Linked DNA regions of Lonchura striata. The protein of the gene in region 2 interacts with the protein of the main gene of each other region in a biochemical or structural test. Links are inferred from orthologs where the notes say so. Each region holds a gene or a part of one and is shown on either strand. Other genes may lie near its edges.

Evidence for each region.
Region 1: the proteins of FLT1 (region 2) and PGF are reported together in a solved structure, tested with the Homo sapiens proteins (2 studies listed by BioGRID and IntAct, with this or other methods). The link is inferred for Lonchura striata from reciprocal best matches to the Homo sapiens genes FLT1 and PGF.

Annotation. Positions count from the first base shown.
Region 1 is NC_134608.1:23,220,470-23,228,437, reverse strand, and holds the start of PGF (placenta growth factor), read right to left. Parts: upstream 3,001-7,968; coding exon 2,935-3,000; intron 2,807-2,934; coding exon 2,767-2,806; intron 2,175-2,766; coding exon 1,978-2,174; intron 527-1,977; coding exon 450-526; intron 1-449. UniProt on the Homo sapiens protein: Growth factor active in angiogenesis and endothelial cell growth, stimulating their proliferation and migration. It binds to the receptor FLT1/VEGFR-1. Isoform PlGF-2 binds NRP1/neuropilin-1 and NRP2/neuropilin-2 in a heparin-dependent manner.
Region 2 is NC_134604.1:68,796,108-68,803,063, reverse strand, and holds the start of FLT1 (vascular endothelial growth factor receptor 1), read right to left. Parts: upstream 3,018-6,956; 5' UTR 2,774-3,017; coding exon 2,716-2,773; intron 1-2,715. UniProt on the Homo sapiens protein: Tyrosine-protein kinase that acts as a cell-surface receptor for VEGFA, VEGFB and PGF, and plays an essential role in the development of embryonic vasculature, the regulation of angiogenesis, cell survival, cell migration, macrophage function, chemotaxis, and cancer cell invasion.

The DNA of each region.
Region 1 (7,968 bases), on a different chromosome or scaffold from region 2:
CCCAAAACTCAGCTGTTGAGCTTTCTCTTTGGGCCACAGTCACATTCAGGCATGCCAAGCCATGGAGCTCCTTGCTGAGCCACCAACTTGGATGTGCTATCTGCCACAGAGCCACCAGCCTTGCTCCATTGCTCACAGGCAGATCCTCTGGCTAAAGGAGCACATGCCAGGCGTGCCAAGGCAGCTGCAGGGATGGGGAGCACAGCCCTGCAGACAGTGAATGGTGCCTGACCTGTCTTCACAATGGCACAAACCCCATCGTCTGCGGGGAGCAGGTGCAGAGATGTGGGGCAGCCTGCAGCTGAACAAGGGCCACAAGCAGCAGCAAACCCTAGTGCAAAGACAGCAAGAGGGGGTGCCAGCACAGCCAGGGTGCCCACAGGGCATCCCTGTTCCACACACAGAATGAGCTGGCAGGCTTGCTCTTGCTGGAACCCAGGAGTCCCTACCTGCACTCGCACTGCTTGTGCTCGGTGAACGCCATCTCCACATAGGGTGCCTCCCCGTTTGGCTTTATCTTCAGGAGCTGAAAGAAGAGCAAAGGTTACTTCTCAGGCAGTGGCAGGAGGGGGCTGGAAAGATTCCTGCACCACTGCCTTGCCACCCCAGGCTCTTGGGAAGATGCATGTCTAACCTGTTCCTCGGGACCTCCAACAACAGAGTCCACCTCCACACGTAGGCAGTACTGGCCAGGCCCAGCTGCCCTGGCAGCTCTGCTAGTGGCGGCTCTGCTAGCGCTTCCCCATGTCTTCAGGGCTTTAATTTAAGTCATGTGGTCTCAGGATTTCCCAGCCTTAGAAAAGATTTTTCAGTCTCTGCCTTTCCAGAGAATTTTCACATATTTGACCCCTTTGCACATTTCCCTTCTCTGACAGAAATATCCCCCCAGTCATGTTTTTCAGGCCAATTCCATTGCTGCTGCCTCCTCCTGGACCCCTTTCCTACAGCACTGAGTTGGAATTGACTGGAGTCAGTACCACAGTGCCTCCCCAGTCCAGGGGTACAGGATTCGCTCTGTCACATGTCACAGCCCAGCCTGAAGTTCAGGCTGGACATCCAAGGGCCTTACAGGGTACACTCATAATTGGTGGGATCCACACCAGCTCCTGCAGAAGTGTCTGACATTTCCACTTTGTACACAGCAGCAGGATCCCTCCCATAGAGGGAGACCTGTGCCTGGGGAGCTTCCTCCTGCTCACACCAGGCTTTTGATCCACCTCAGCCAAGAGCTTTTTGCCATCCTTCCTTCCAACACACTTTCAACCTCAGAGAGACCAAAATCACTGGTGATTTATTGCAGGCATTCCCTAGTCCATCATCCATGGCAAAGTAGAGCATTTGCCTGGTTCCTGCAGCATCAGCAGGTTGACCTCTGGCAGCTCTGTGCAGGGGCTGCAGTGTGAGGACAACTGCTGCCTGCTACATGGGGAAGAGTTGAACGGCTCAGGATCTCCCATCCCACATCTCACAGCTCACACAGTGGTGACTGAAAACGCAGTTGGCTCAGCCCTTCATGCTCACCATGCCGCAGTGTGGGGGCATTCATGTCAGCACCACCCCAAGCATCACCTGATAGAGGAGAGCCTCACTCCTCCCTTCGATTCGAGGGCAGTACCTACTTTGTCCCAGCAGGCAGCCACAGCTAACTGGAACACCCCCCAGCCCCACCACAGGACAGGAAAGGTCTGGAAAAAATGACAGCAAGAGCAAGACAGACCACACAGAGAGAAGTCAGGGAAGGAGGGAGTAAGGCCAGTACCACCAGGGGCGACACCTGACCTCAGGGGCAAGCTCAAAGAGCAGGCAGAGGGACCCTACTGGCTTGGCATGCATTTGAGCACTTGTAAATCCTCTCCCTCTCTAGCCACACTGCTACAATGTCTAGAGGACGCAAAGCTGCAAGTTCACCTTCCCGGCGCTTGGTGAGCAGCCCTGCACCTCTCCGGTGCAGCCCGGCCCCGCAGCAGCAGCACGTACCTGCATGGTGACCGTGCTTGTCTCCACGGGGACGCAGCGGAGACCCTCGTCCCCACAACAGCCTCCACAGCGCTGCAGGGAGACGCAGGAGGGTCTGAAAATGTACTCCACCTCGTTAGGGAATTCGGTAATGACGTCCACCAGCTGCTCCAGAGGCCGGCAGAAACTACGGTTCCAGATCTCCCGAAAGGTAAGGACTGCAAGAGACAGGGACTATAAGGAGGCGTCCGGAGAGGCAGAGCCCAGCCGGGCCGCTGCCGGGGCAGGTGCAGCAGCCTCGAGGGCGTCTGTGCTCGCAGTAAGTCCGTCACCGTACTGTGCACATCACTGTGCGGGGGCTCACACAGCCGTCCCAACAGGCTCTTTCTCCCTCTCTCCGCCAGCTCCATCCCCTGCCCGGGCACTCTGCTCATCCCCGAGCTCCGCCGCGGAGGGGCTCCCCCGGATCTCTCCCGGCCGGACAGCCGTTCCCTGGGGCTTTCCAGGAGGGAGCGCAGAAGCGGAGCGCTCCCACCCGGCACCCCGCATGCCAGCACCGGAGGGGCGGCAGTCCAGGGACTGGGCTGTGCTCCGGCCCGCGGCGGTGCCCGGTGCCCGAGGAGGGCTGGGGGCATCACATTGCTCCGAGCCTCGGCACAGCTCCCGGCTACCTCCCCGGTTGTCACCACGGGACTCCAGAGGTAACACAGCCCCGGTAGTACCCAACGCTCCCCAGCCTTGCGCGAAGCCTTCGCTGGGTTGCTGCCCGCTCCCAGCCGGGGCACCGGCGGCCGCCCGCTACCAACTCACCGGGAGACTCCGTGCTGGCTATCCCCCGTTCCTCCGGGGCCTGCAGGGAGAGAAAGGCGAGCTCTGGAGGGGCAGCACGGGGTGACCCGCCGCCGCCCCCCGCCCAGAGCCGGGAGGAGCGGGGAGCCGCACCCTGCTCCGACCCCCCTCCCGCCCCCCGGCTCTCACCGGGGCGGGCGGTGCCCCCAGCGTCCCGGCCACCAGCAACCGCAGGAAGGCGCCGAGCAGCCGCATCGCCGCTCCCGCCGCCCCGGTACAGAGTCGGCTCCGCCACTAGCGCCCTGCCGCCCCCGGCATACCGCCCCGACGCCGGGCCGCCGGCCCCGCCGTGCCGCCTCCGCCGCCGCCGGGCCATGGGAGCGCGCCCCGCTCTGCCGCCGTATTTCACCGCCACCGCCCCGCCGCTGCCCCGCCCCGGCCCCGCCGCGGGGCGGGAGCAGGTGCCCGGCCCCGGCGGCCGCGGGGACGGCCGGTGCTCCCGGACGCGGCAGAGCCGCCTCCTCCAGCGCCCCCGCACCGCCTCTGGCCATCACTCCATCGGGCTGTCCCGGCGCTTCATTCACCGTCCCGTGCCGGTGAATCCCGGCCGGCGGGAACCACCGGGGCTGTGTTGGGCTTCTCGGCTTGCTGTTTTCACTGCCCCATGCCCATCTACCCATTCTGTGCCCAGCTGGCTCCTGCCCCCATACAACAGCCCCTTTCCCACCCATCCTCTTCATTCCTCTACTGATGCCCTGTTCCCACTCAGACTTCCCGTGACTGTCCACCCACCCCCTTCCCCCTCAAGCTGCCCTATGCCTGTTCCATCAGCTCCTGCCGTTGGACCCCTGCCAAAGGGTTTCCAGCCCCCCCCCGGCCTCAGGGACAGCATCCTGGTTCTGGTCTACAGCTCGGAAGGGAAAGGGGCGCAGCAGGTCTCAGGTCAAACCCTGCTGCCAACCCAAAGCAGCTCTGTTGGCCTTTTCTGTTCTATTTTTAAGCCCCTGAGGCCAGGGAAGCTGGAGCTGTGGGAGGTGTGATGAGATGCCAACAGGCAACACGATCCCCCGTGGGCTGCAGGTCCTAGGGAAATAACGAGCTCTGTGTCCATGCCAGGATTCACGTTTCTGTCCTCCTGGGAGAGTGGGGAGGCTGCTTCAGGGTTTCCCTACCCAGCACCGTGTGAGGTCTGTCCCTGCAGCATGAGGATGCTAATGATCTGTTCCCAGCCCTGTGATCTGCTCCCATCTGTCCCCAGGGGATGCAGGACATGCCAGCTGCCTGTCCTCAGTCCCGCTGGGCCATGCAAGTGGCAGTGATTTAGGCACCAGCAGGAGCCGGGCTCAGTCAGGAGCTTCTAGGCATTGGTACCACTGAGTGTGTGACAAAGCTGCTGGAGCAAGGCCTGGCAAATTAGCATGGAGATCCTGCAGAGATAAGCACACAGAAATCCCAGCCCCACCACGGGGAGGGTGTGCTGCAGTTCATCACTCAGCAGCACTGCACCAACTCAGCAGCTGCCGGGGCTGCTGTGGCAGCGTTCAGTGTCTGTTCATACTTCTTGTCTTGGCTGGGCAGCAAAGAGCAGGTAACATCCTTAACGTGTTGACTGGAGCATGCCTGTAGCCTCCCTTGGCTACCCTATGGACCCTCCTGGGCCAAGGGGACCCCGTTCCCACTTCCCCAGGGTTGGTTGTGGGATGGGGTGAAGAGAGCATTTCCTCCCACCCGAGAGCAGAGGCTGCCCTGAGCAGCAGCTGCTGCCAACTCACTGGACAGACAGAATCCTGTTATTGCAAAGACCGTGACCACATGGGGCCTCATGCCTGTCCTTGCAGGAAGGTCCCTCGGGGCCACCTCTCAGACACAAGGCCAGCCTCTGGCACTAGTGCAAAGGGCTCTCCCCCAGGAGCTGTGTGGCTGGGGAGACCAGCCCTTAATTGCTGAGTGCAGTCCTGTTCCTGGTCTGAAACTATTTCCTCAGAGGCCTTGGGCAGAGTTTACATTCCTGGGATGAGCATCCACTTTCTAGGCAGTGTGGAACACAGAGAGAAGAGGAATAATATTTGGACACCGGTAACCTGTGATCAGCGATATCCTCCTGCATATGGAAGAAACATCAATCTGGCTGGGGTCACAGTTGCTTGCTTTCCCCTCTGCCATGCTCCTCCCCAGGGGGCCAAATCTGCCCTTCCCCAGCTGCAGGACAGGGCTGGAGGTCGGTGCTATAAATGCACCAGCATGTCCCTCGCGCCGCCTCCCACTCGGCTCTGGGGAGCAGAGTTACGCACTTTGGGAGCAAGGGACAGAGGAAGCTCAAGGAACCAGCCAGGGACATAAGGCAAATAGAGACATTTCCTTAAAGAGCAAATGCCTCCCCTGAAGTGAGCCCCACGCAGTGGCTGCTGCCTGAGAGCATCACCCCAGATATGCCACTGCCTGCCTGTGCCACCTCCCTGCCCTGCTCACAGAGCTGAGGAAGGAGGTGGGTGGGGAATGATGGTGTGTTCTTGCTGTGAGTGAGCCCTGGCCATCAAGTGGGGAAGGCCAGCCCTGGCATCAAGCTGCAAGCATGCCATGGCACAGCCCTGACAGGGAGCAGGGTCACCTCCATGCTTCCTGCACCTTCAGGGTGAGGGGCAAGAGCAGGGCTCTGACTGCCCATAACACTGAAAGAGCCCCAAGCAAGCAGCTGCTCTTCCCTGCAGAACCCCACCCTGTTCATTGCAGGCAAGGCTGCTCTAAAGTAATCTTTTCCATAAAACAGCCCCATTTCAGCATCAGAGCTCTCTTACGGGCATCTTATACCCTGCAAAATCCCACCTTTGGCATTTCACATGGAAAGAACCCAACCGAAACTTGTCCCTGCATCATTCTTAAACTGACTGCAGCCAGGACCTCCAGCATCACCCCCGAAGCCCTCAGAGAACACCTCTGAAATCCTCAGGGCATTATTTTTGTTCTGCTGCTATTTAGGACACAGGACTCAGTCTCACCAAAGCCATAGGCTTCTACCAAGGGAAGGGCCAGTCCATCCATGATCCAGTGCCCAGCACAGCCACCCTCTTGTGTTTGACCCCAGTAGGCAAGAACCCCACCAGCGGCTTCCTATGTCCTGCATTGTGACGGGACTCCTGAGGTCAAAGCAGAATGAGGATGTAGGTCACTGGGCTCCTCACACCTGCCTGTCATCCCAGAGCCCCCAGGTTTCCCTCTCACTGTTTCATTTGATTGCTTTCTCTGCTTCTGGGATCTCTTCTTAGAGAGTCTCCCAAGCTCCACTACCAGAGAGCCAGTCCATAGCTAGGCTAGCAGTGAGATAAACCAGGTCAGTCGCCTGCAGTTTGTATCTCCACTGTGAGAATGAGGATGGGAATGGTCAGGCTGGGGCATCCCCAGCTCCAGCCTCTTGGCACAGGTAACCCAGGCCTCTCTCTCAGGAGACTGCTGCTGACTTCTGAGAAATGCAGGGATCTCCAATGCCCTTGCAGGCAAGCAGAGCTGCACCAATGACCCCTGAACAGTTAGTGCTGCTCCTCAAGGAAACAGCTTGCAAACAACCTGTCTGGGCACTGGGCCCTGAAGGACTCCTCAGAGCTCTGCTGCAGCAGCTCCAACTCTGAGATGCCCTGGGCAGCACATCCCCTGTCCCTGGTGGCTCACTGTGGTGGCGTCAGTGCCTCTCCCAGCCCAGGTGTGCAGGGGGATGTGTTTGCTGAGGGGGAGGCTGACAATAGGGGGAAATGGGCCAGGCTGTGCACCCCAATGGTGGTGGCTCACAGCCCCGGCCACTGCTGCTCACGGCAGGCGGAAGCGTCCGGCCTTAGTCAGCCCCGGCTGCACGTGGCAGGAACTCTGCTGTTTGTTTTGGTTCCTGGGGAGGGGAGCTCAGCCTCCCTGGGGACCCACAACCGAACCTGCAGGCACCTGACAGTCCAGCCCCATGCCTGGAGACATCAGGGTCTGGTCCCCACGGGCCACGGGCACTGCAGGCTGGCCTAGGTCAGACATGAGTTTTGGAAGGGCAGGGGATGAGCACCAGGACTGCCGGAGAGCACTCCAGGCAGAGAACCCAGGCAAGGGGAATCCTTGGCAAGCCTGGATACTGCTTTCAGACATTAATCCCTCGTGGGGGCAGGGACGGTGCTACCAAGGAGGATGTCCCTGAGACTGCCAGACCCAAGCCCTGGGAAGCCGCGGCCCTCATCCAGCCAGCGTTCCAGGAGTAGATCAACATTGGCAGACCTAGTACCACTCAGCTTAGTGCTCAGTGGCCAGAGGCTGGGCAGCTCTATGCTGCAGGGACTGGTCAGGCCATGGGTGTTTGCAGAAAAGCACAGCCCTGGAGCAGGGTGAGGCACTGGAGAGCCACACCACAGCCCCGAGCATACGTGGGCACTTACAGGTAAGCATTCTGTCAGCAGCCCCGACAGCAAGCACAATTACCATGCCAAAACAGCAGCCCCATGCACACCAAGCACCTGAGAGACCAGAGCAGGCAGCAGAGACACAGTAATCACAGCACAGCTCACCCTGCTCTGTCCAAGTTCCTCTACTGAAGCCCTGGGTGGGAGCTGCAGCTTCAAGTCCCAGAAAGCCTGCAGGAATTTCTCTCCAGCAGCTGTAGAGTGCTGTGCTTGGGAAAAACAAGGCTGAGAGCAGGACAGACTGGTGCAGCAGTGTGCATGACCTTCTGCCATCGGCAGACAGAACAGCCTGGGCCCGCACAGGCTGGAGGCACAGGGCATGGAAACTGTGGGAGGGGTGAGATTCTCCCTGCAGGAGCAGAGCAGCCCTCTCCTCAGGAAAGAGACGGGTTACTTTTCCACCAGAGAACCAAGCATATTCTGCACATTTATCACGTTTCATCTACCCTGGGGAAAGGGCAGTGAGCACTGAACAGAGAAGAGGCACACAGGCACAAACCGGCTGCTGCTCTGCTGCTGCTGCCCCTGCTCTCCAGCTTTCCCAGCCCAGCCGCTCGGTGGGCAGGGGCTGCCAGGCACTTTTCTCCCCTGCCAAACTGGAACCCGATCCACACCCAGCCCAGAGCTTCTGGCTGCTTATCGTGTGGATGCAGTTCTCCTGCTTTTAGCTGTCATAATATTGACACAAAGCAAAATAATAGTGATGGCGAGACTATGCCTGGCTCTGGAAGGCAAACAGGCAAGGAGATGGGGAGTAGCAGACTCTGCTATTGTGTGGGACAGGGCAGCAGCCGGG
Region 2 (6,956 bases):
AGTTTAAACACAGTCCTTCACAATCCCAAATGCTAGTGATTAAAATGATAGCAATACTATAGTAATAATTATAATTATGGCAATAAAGTTGAGGACTGGGAGATTGAACTGAATACAACAACCGCATATTCATGTTGACTGTTATGTGTATAATCATTAGCAAGCATATGCAATACAATTTGTGGAATAAATAATTATAAGATATAAAGAAAACATATTTGAATTCTATGCAAAACTGAGAAAAAAAGTATTGTTCTTTCCCAAGTTAACAAAATATGTGTGTGCACAAGAGAGCTGAAGTGCCCAACACTCACATGTCAAATGCATTTAATTTCCTTAATCTCATTTTTCAAATGGGTACTCTCAAAGCTTGTAGGCTGCATGTTGCTTTGGGTAATTTTAAATTATTAAGTAGATTTATATGAGCTGAAAGACCTCCTTCTGTCTCCTCCTTGTGGAGGTATATTTAGGTTCTTTCTGAACCACTGACTATTTCTGAGAGTCTCCCCTAGAACCTGTCAGTAAATTGAAGCTCAGCAGGCACCTGCAGAGATTGAATTACAAGAGGGGACCAGTGATTAATTGAATTGCATCAAGAGCACTGGAAATGGAAAGTGCTGGGCAGCCTGAGTAAGAAATGTAGGTAAATAAGCAGTGAAGGAGGGTGAAATAGGAGGAAAAGTACAGAGATGTATGGTACAAAACATTCCCCCACTTCAACAATAACTTTCAAACTATCCATGCAAATGCAACTATGGAGAGTTCTGCCAGTGGTCCAGAAGAAGCATGATCAACCTATTTGAGATGTCCAAACAAAGCTGAGCGAGAATGCTTTTCTAGAAAGCAAACAAAAAAACCCAAGAAAACCAATGAGTCTGAAAACATTTAAATTCTGATTTGAGCACAATCTCTTGTACATGGGGCAGATATGAACTTCCAGGAGAATGGTTGTAAGGGCACCCAGACAAACTAGAGAATAAACTTTCCAACACCTACAGCACCTGAGCCAGCCATTGGGATGTTTGTCCCCAGTACCCAGAGCCCCTGGCTGTCCCCTAAGCAAGCCAAGCTTTTCCCACTGGGATTGGTCTAGGGTACACATGAACAGGAAGGTGAAGCAGTGTCTCTCTCACCACCCCTGGCGCAGAGAGTCCACCCTGTCCCTGGGCAGTGGGCTTGCCATGATCTGCACAATGGAAAACCTTTCTGACAGGAAGGAGGAAGCCAGTCCCCTAGCAGAGCTGGTCACTGCAGGAGCCCATGCAGGAGCAGGACGCCGAAGTTCGGACTCAAGCTGTGAAGGAAGCCTGGCAAGGATCTCAATCCACATTTCCTGTATCCAGGGTGGGTGTCCCATGCCTGTGCCTATTTCATCTTGGGCATGAGAACCTCCTAGGCAGAGACAAATAATGTGGGGAAATTAGCACTTTCCTGGGGAAAAGAAAAAGGAAAGAGAATGTAGAACACCTATATATCTGTATCAAAGCTGATGAATCAGCACTTCCCGAGCAGGAAAACGTCTTGTCGGAGCGGCCCCTCCAGCTCTCCTCCCGGGCAGCCTCAGGCAGCGGGACGGCTCCCGTGGGCTCAGCGGCGCGGAGCACACCGAGCCCCGGCCACTCGCGAGGGACCGCGTGGCCGCGGACCGCAGGAACGCTGGCCTTGACGGCTGTCCCGCGGGGAGCCCGGCTTTTGGCTTCCCCAGCCGGGGTTTGTGCTTGCTCCCCGCCGGCCCCTTTCTGCCGAGCGCCGTCCCCGCGGGAGCGGCCGCGGCCGTGCGCGCTGCCCGGGCGGGACACGCGGAGCCCGTGCGCGGACAGGCTGCGGGAGCGCCCATCGCCTCTCTCCGCGGGGCATCCCCGCAGGTCACCGGCCCTGCCGAGCCACGAGCCCACACGGGACCGGCCTTTGCCCGGCCACCACGCACACCCCTGCTCTCAGGTGACCAGCCACATAACGCTGGGGCGCACTGCCCACCGCGGCGCTCCGGCCCACGGAGACTGGCTCTTGGCTCAAAGTAAAATAAAACTCAGTTAAGAATATCAAATCTGCAATGATCCATCCCCATCAATGCGGGATGCAGGCACCGGAGAGCAGCTCCACCCCACTCTCCAGTAAGACCCGGCAGCCAGCCCCGCACGGAGCGCCACCGGTGCTCCGCCGACCTGCTCAGGCGGGAGGCAGCAGGACCTCGATTTTTGCGAAGAAAAGGTACAGCTTTGCCGCTTCACGGGCAGAACGGGGACACTTGAAAACAAAATGCGGAGAAAAGAAGCGTGCCCTGGAACCAAGACATGTTCTCGTTCCGTGATGCACTGGTTCGGACAACTCCCAATGATGTACGGCGGTGCCCTGTGCCCGGGAGAGGCTGGCCTCCACGCCACCACTGCCTTGCGGGAGAAGCACCACGGCTCCGCACCGCCGGACCGTCCGGGGAGCTGCTCCCCGGGCACGCCGATGGGGATCCGGAGCATAACGACAGCTCGGGAATGCGGCGCTTCTCCGCTCCCTGGAAAGCAGGGATCACTTCCCCGGCCCTGCTCAGAGGAGAATGGCGAAGGAGAGGCAGGTGCCCGCCGGCTCCAGCCGACAAGCGGGGTGTGGCGGGACCGGTCAGGGGCGCGGGAGGCGCAGCCGACGAGGCTCATCACTGGGGGCCCGTCGCGGAGATCTCGGCGCAGAGCGGGGTCTGACCGCGTACCAGCGGTGCCTTACCTGCGAGCAGGAGGGCGGCTCCCAGCAGCACGGTCCCTGAGAGCAGCTGGCGGGGCATGGTCCTGCCTGCGGGAACGCAGGGCTTTTTCCCTGCCGACGGCAGCGAGGCAGGGGCAGAGGCGCCGGCTGGGATCCGACGGGCTCTCCTCGGTCCCGGGCGCTTCCCGCGGTGGAGGAGATAGCGGCAAAGCGAGGCGCGGAATCGGCATCCAGCAGCCCCCGAGTCCTGCCCGCCCGCCCCGGCCCGGCCCGACCTGCGGAAACGGAGTATCCGCTGCGGGCCGCCCTGCCAGCTTCACCTCCCGCGGGCATCAGATACCCGCCAGCCCCAGCATCGCTGATTTATAACTTCTCCACCCCTCGCCGCGCACCCCTCCGCCCCCCCGCCCACATCCTCCGCCGGGAGCACGCCCTCGCCGGGACGCGTCCCCCGCCCGCTCGCCCGCCCGCCCGTCGGCGGGCACGGTGTCGCTGCCCCGCGGGTCTCCCAGTCCCGGACACCCCCGGCCCCCAGGGAGCCGGGCCGTGCCGTCCCTCCGGAGCCCGGCTCTGGGCTGCTTCCAGCCGCCGCGGCCGCCGCGCTGCTGGGGCGGGCAGCGGGACTCGTCGCTCGCACGTTGCCGGGCTCCTCTAGGCAGGGTGTGAAGCGGCTTGGGATTCCTGGATGAAATGCTGAGCGGCGGGGTCCCGGTGTTGCGGAGACCCTCTCCCGCTCCGCAGGAAAACTTCGACAGCGCCACGTCCCGCCACCGGCTGCCGAGCCCGGTGCCAGGTCGGGCGGGGGCCATTTACAGCCCCTCCCCGGCTGCCCGGCGCGATGCTCGGAGTGCCCAAAGCGCTGCCCGTGCCCCAGGCGCCCGAGACTCCATTCCCCACCTTCCTTGGGGAGAAGGAGCCGTGGGGCAGATCGCTCTGTGCGGGGCCTGACCCAGACCACCACGGGTCCCCAGCCAGCAGCACTGAGAGCGCTCAGAGCAGGGAAGCCAGGAAGGGGCAGCACTGGCTAAGGATGCTTAGGAAGTCTGCCCTGCCAGCTCCCCTGCTGTCCTTCACTGAGTCTATAACATCCAGGGCAGCGCTGGAAATATATTTCTCCTCTCACCCATGCACATACCACGTTTCCCATACATGTTTTATTTTGTGAAAGATCAGCAGAGAGCCCATGACCGCAAAGTTCAAGGCCCGTGTTTCCACTTTTCCCCTGTTGAGCCAGAAGAAACGCTGTTGCATGAGCCAGATCTTCAGTTTGACCCACTGTGGCCCTTTCTATATTTTTATACTATGAAATAAGTCACAAGAATATGTTGGGGCAGGTAAATGTGGTCATCCCCTTCTTACAGAGAAGGAAACGGAGGCGCATAGAGAGGTTAGGCAGCTAGTCCAAGGTCATAGGAAGCTGGTGACAGAAGACATAAATAGAACTCAGACCTCCCATGTCCCACCAGACCATCCTGTACAAGAAAAAAAAAAAAAGAAGTTGATGTTGTTTTTAACTTGAGAAGTGTTTAACTTTAAAGTTTAAAGTCTGTGAGAATATTTCCTGCACGCGTCTGTTCAACTCCTATTCATAAATTACGCCCTAAGCTACAAATTTTAGTCTGTATTTTCCAATCTTCCTGCCCCCAGCTGAGACCTTGAAAATAAAATAGCTATGGATACCTTCCCCTCAGCTGCTCACACCATGGGGGGAAGAACCCAGAGGTTTCTTTCCCGAAGAGAATGACTCACACAAAGTCACCTCCTCCACTGGAGAGGATAGCAGCTGGGAAAACAGTCAGCCAGGGAGGACAGGCCAACAAGAACTAGGACACTGAGCATCCTGACAGGTTAGACCCCCTAGGAGCAAGGGCTCCCCTGTAGAAGGACCTCAGGGAACAGTTTGTGCCTGCCTTTGGCCAGCCTAGTGCTGAGTCTGAGATGATGTGAACCTAATCACAAGCTCAGCAGCCATTCCACACCAGTTCCTCCCCATCTTCTTCACACCTCCTACATCACAGCTGCATTCAGTCATGGCCCTCCAAAGACCACATTTCTTTGGCAAGCTATAGCTTCTTCCTTCTCCAACAGATGTCATCAGCTCGTGATCCACTCAAGTGACCAGGGAGGCCAAACCTGAAGATCTGCTCCTAATCTCTTTTCACTCTTTTATATGTTAAGGTCAGGGAGAGATGAGATGTGGAGCTTGTAGAATGGAAAGATCCAAGCAGAGAGATACAAGGAAGAAAGAAGAAGCAGATATTCCCATAAAGCAGAAGGAAGGTATAGTAGGAAACTTGTGCTTGGAACTGAACAGTCTAAACACATAAATTGGAACATCTGGACAGATGGAAAATGCATATGTGAAGGGGAGGGCCGCATGGAATGTACTTGCCTATTTTTTTTGTGTGTGTGCCTGTGTGTGTGTGTGTGTGTGTGTGTGTGTGTTTGTGTGTATGTGTGTGTGTGTGTGTGAACTACTACCATGCAATTTGCAACACCCAGTAGGATGCAAACTACCTTTGAAGAGTAGTTTAGATGCTGTGGCTGGACAAACGCTGAGACAGCCATAGGTCTGTCCCAGGCATAAGTCTATACTGCAGGCAATATGATCTCTTCATACCAGAATCTTAGGCCTTAGTTAGATTCTAAGTAGTGGGTGGCATATGTGAGGCCAAATTTATCATTGGCATTCAACCATTACTTACTGAGGCAAACAGCTCTGGTACAAGCACATCTCACAGCAGAGTAGGGGATCATGGAGAACAGGGCGAGTTTCTAGAATGAGGGGAAACCCAAGAGAGGCTTACATGGAATCGGCAGCTTGCACAAGAGAGGCTGACTCAACATAGGACAGAGCCAGGAGCCCCCTGGGGAGCATGAGCATGAATCTGGAGACATCCCACTCAGCTGGAAGCTGGCTAATATCCTAGGCTTCAAGGAGGGCAAGAAGGATGACCTTGATAACTGCAGGTCTGTCAGGTTCTGCTGGAGAGCAGCACCATAGAAAGTGTCAGTGGCAAGCTGAATATAAGTCTGCAGTGTGACTCACATTAGTGACTCGTACCAGTGAGTCCTGGTAGCCAGGAGGTCAAACACCCTGGGAGGGTGTCAGGCACAGCATCACCAGCCAACCAAGGGAGGGGATTGTCCCACTCTGATCTGCACTGGTGGGCCTCACCTCAAGTGCTGTGGGCAGTTTTGGGTGACACAATATAAGAAGGACATCAAACTATTACCGTATGTCCAAGGGAATGGGACCAAGATTGTAAATGTCCTCAAGAGCAAGACTTAAGAGGAGGAGCTCAAGTGGCTTGTTTGTACAGCCTAGAGAAGGGGAGAGGGGGGGAGGACTTCATAGTGGTCTACAGCTTCCTTACAAGGTGAAGAGGAGGGGCAGGAGCTTTTATCTTCTTGCTGGTGACCAATAGTAGGCCCCACGGGAACACCACAAAGCTGTGCCAGGGGAGGTTTAGGTTGCATATTAGGAAAAGATTATTCACCCAGAGTGTGACAGAGCACTGAAACAGCTTCCCCACCACACCAAGCCTGTCAAAGTTCAAGTGTTTGGACAATGTTCACAGGCATATGGTGTGATTCTTGGGATATCCTGTGCAGGGCCAGGAGTTAGACTTGATGATTCTTGTGGGTCCCTTCCAACTCGGAATATTCTATGATTTTATGTTTCTATGAATAATGGATACATAACAGTTGCTATGTTCCCTTCAGCTCTGAAATGTGGGAATTTTCATTTTTCTAACATTTGTTAAAAATACTATTACTAAATACTAGGAAGGAAATCAGCCAAATTTAGCAGCTGAGAGTAAGCCCTCTGAAATATATCAGGCAAACATTTTGCAAGACTGATCATCTGCTCAATCTCCAGCACTACAGAAGCTGAAAAAGAGAGAGGAGAAACAGCCTTCACAGTAGAGAACATTTGTTTTCAGTGTTCATTTGCAGCCCAGAAGTACCTTGTATTGTTGAATTTTACTCTGCAGGAAGATCAGAGTAGAGATTTTTCTTTAACAACCCCCACATATGACACTATAATCATCAAGCTGTCAGGCAGCAAAAGCACCAACCCATTTGCATCCCTTGCCTATCCCTGACCAGCAATAGGAAATCTAATTGAGAAGGTAATCAAGGCTCTCAGACTTTAGGTCCAGGTTGAGCAGCAGACTACCATGACAAAGGAACAGAGACGTCATCCTGAGCATATTGGACTTTTCATGGCTGAATACTCAGCCAGCTGAATACTCGTT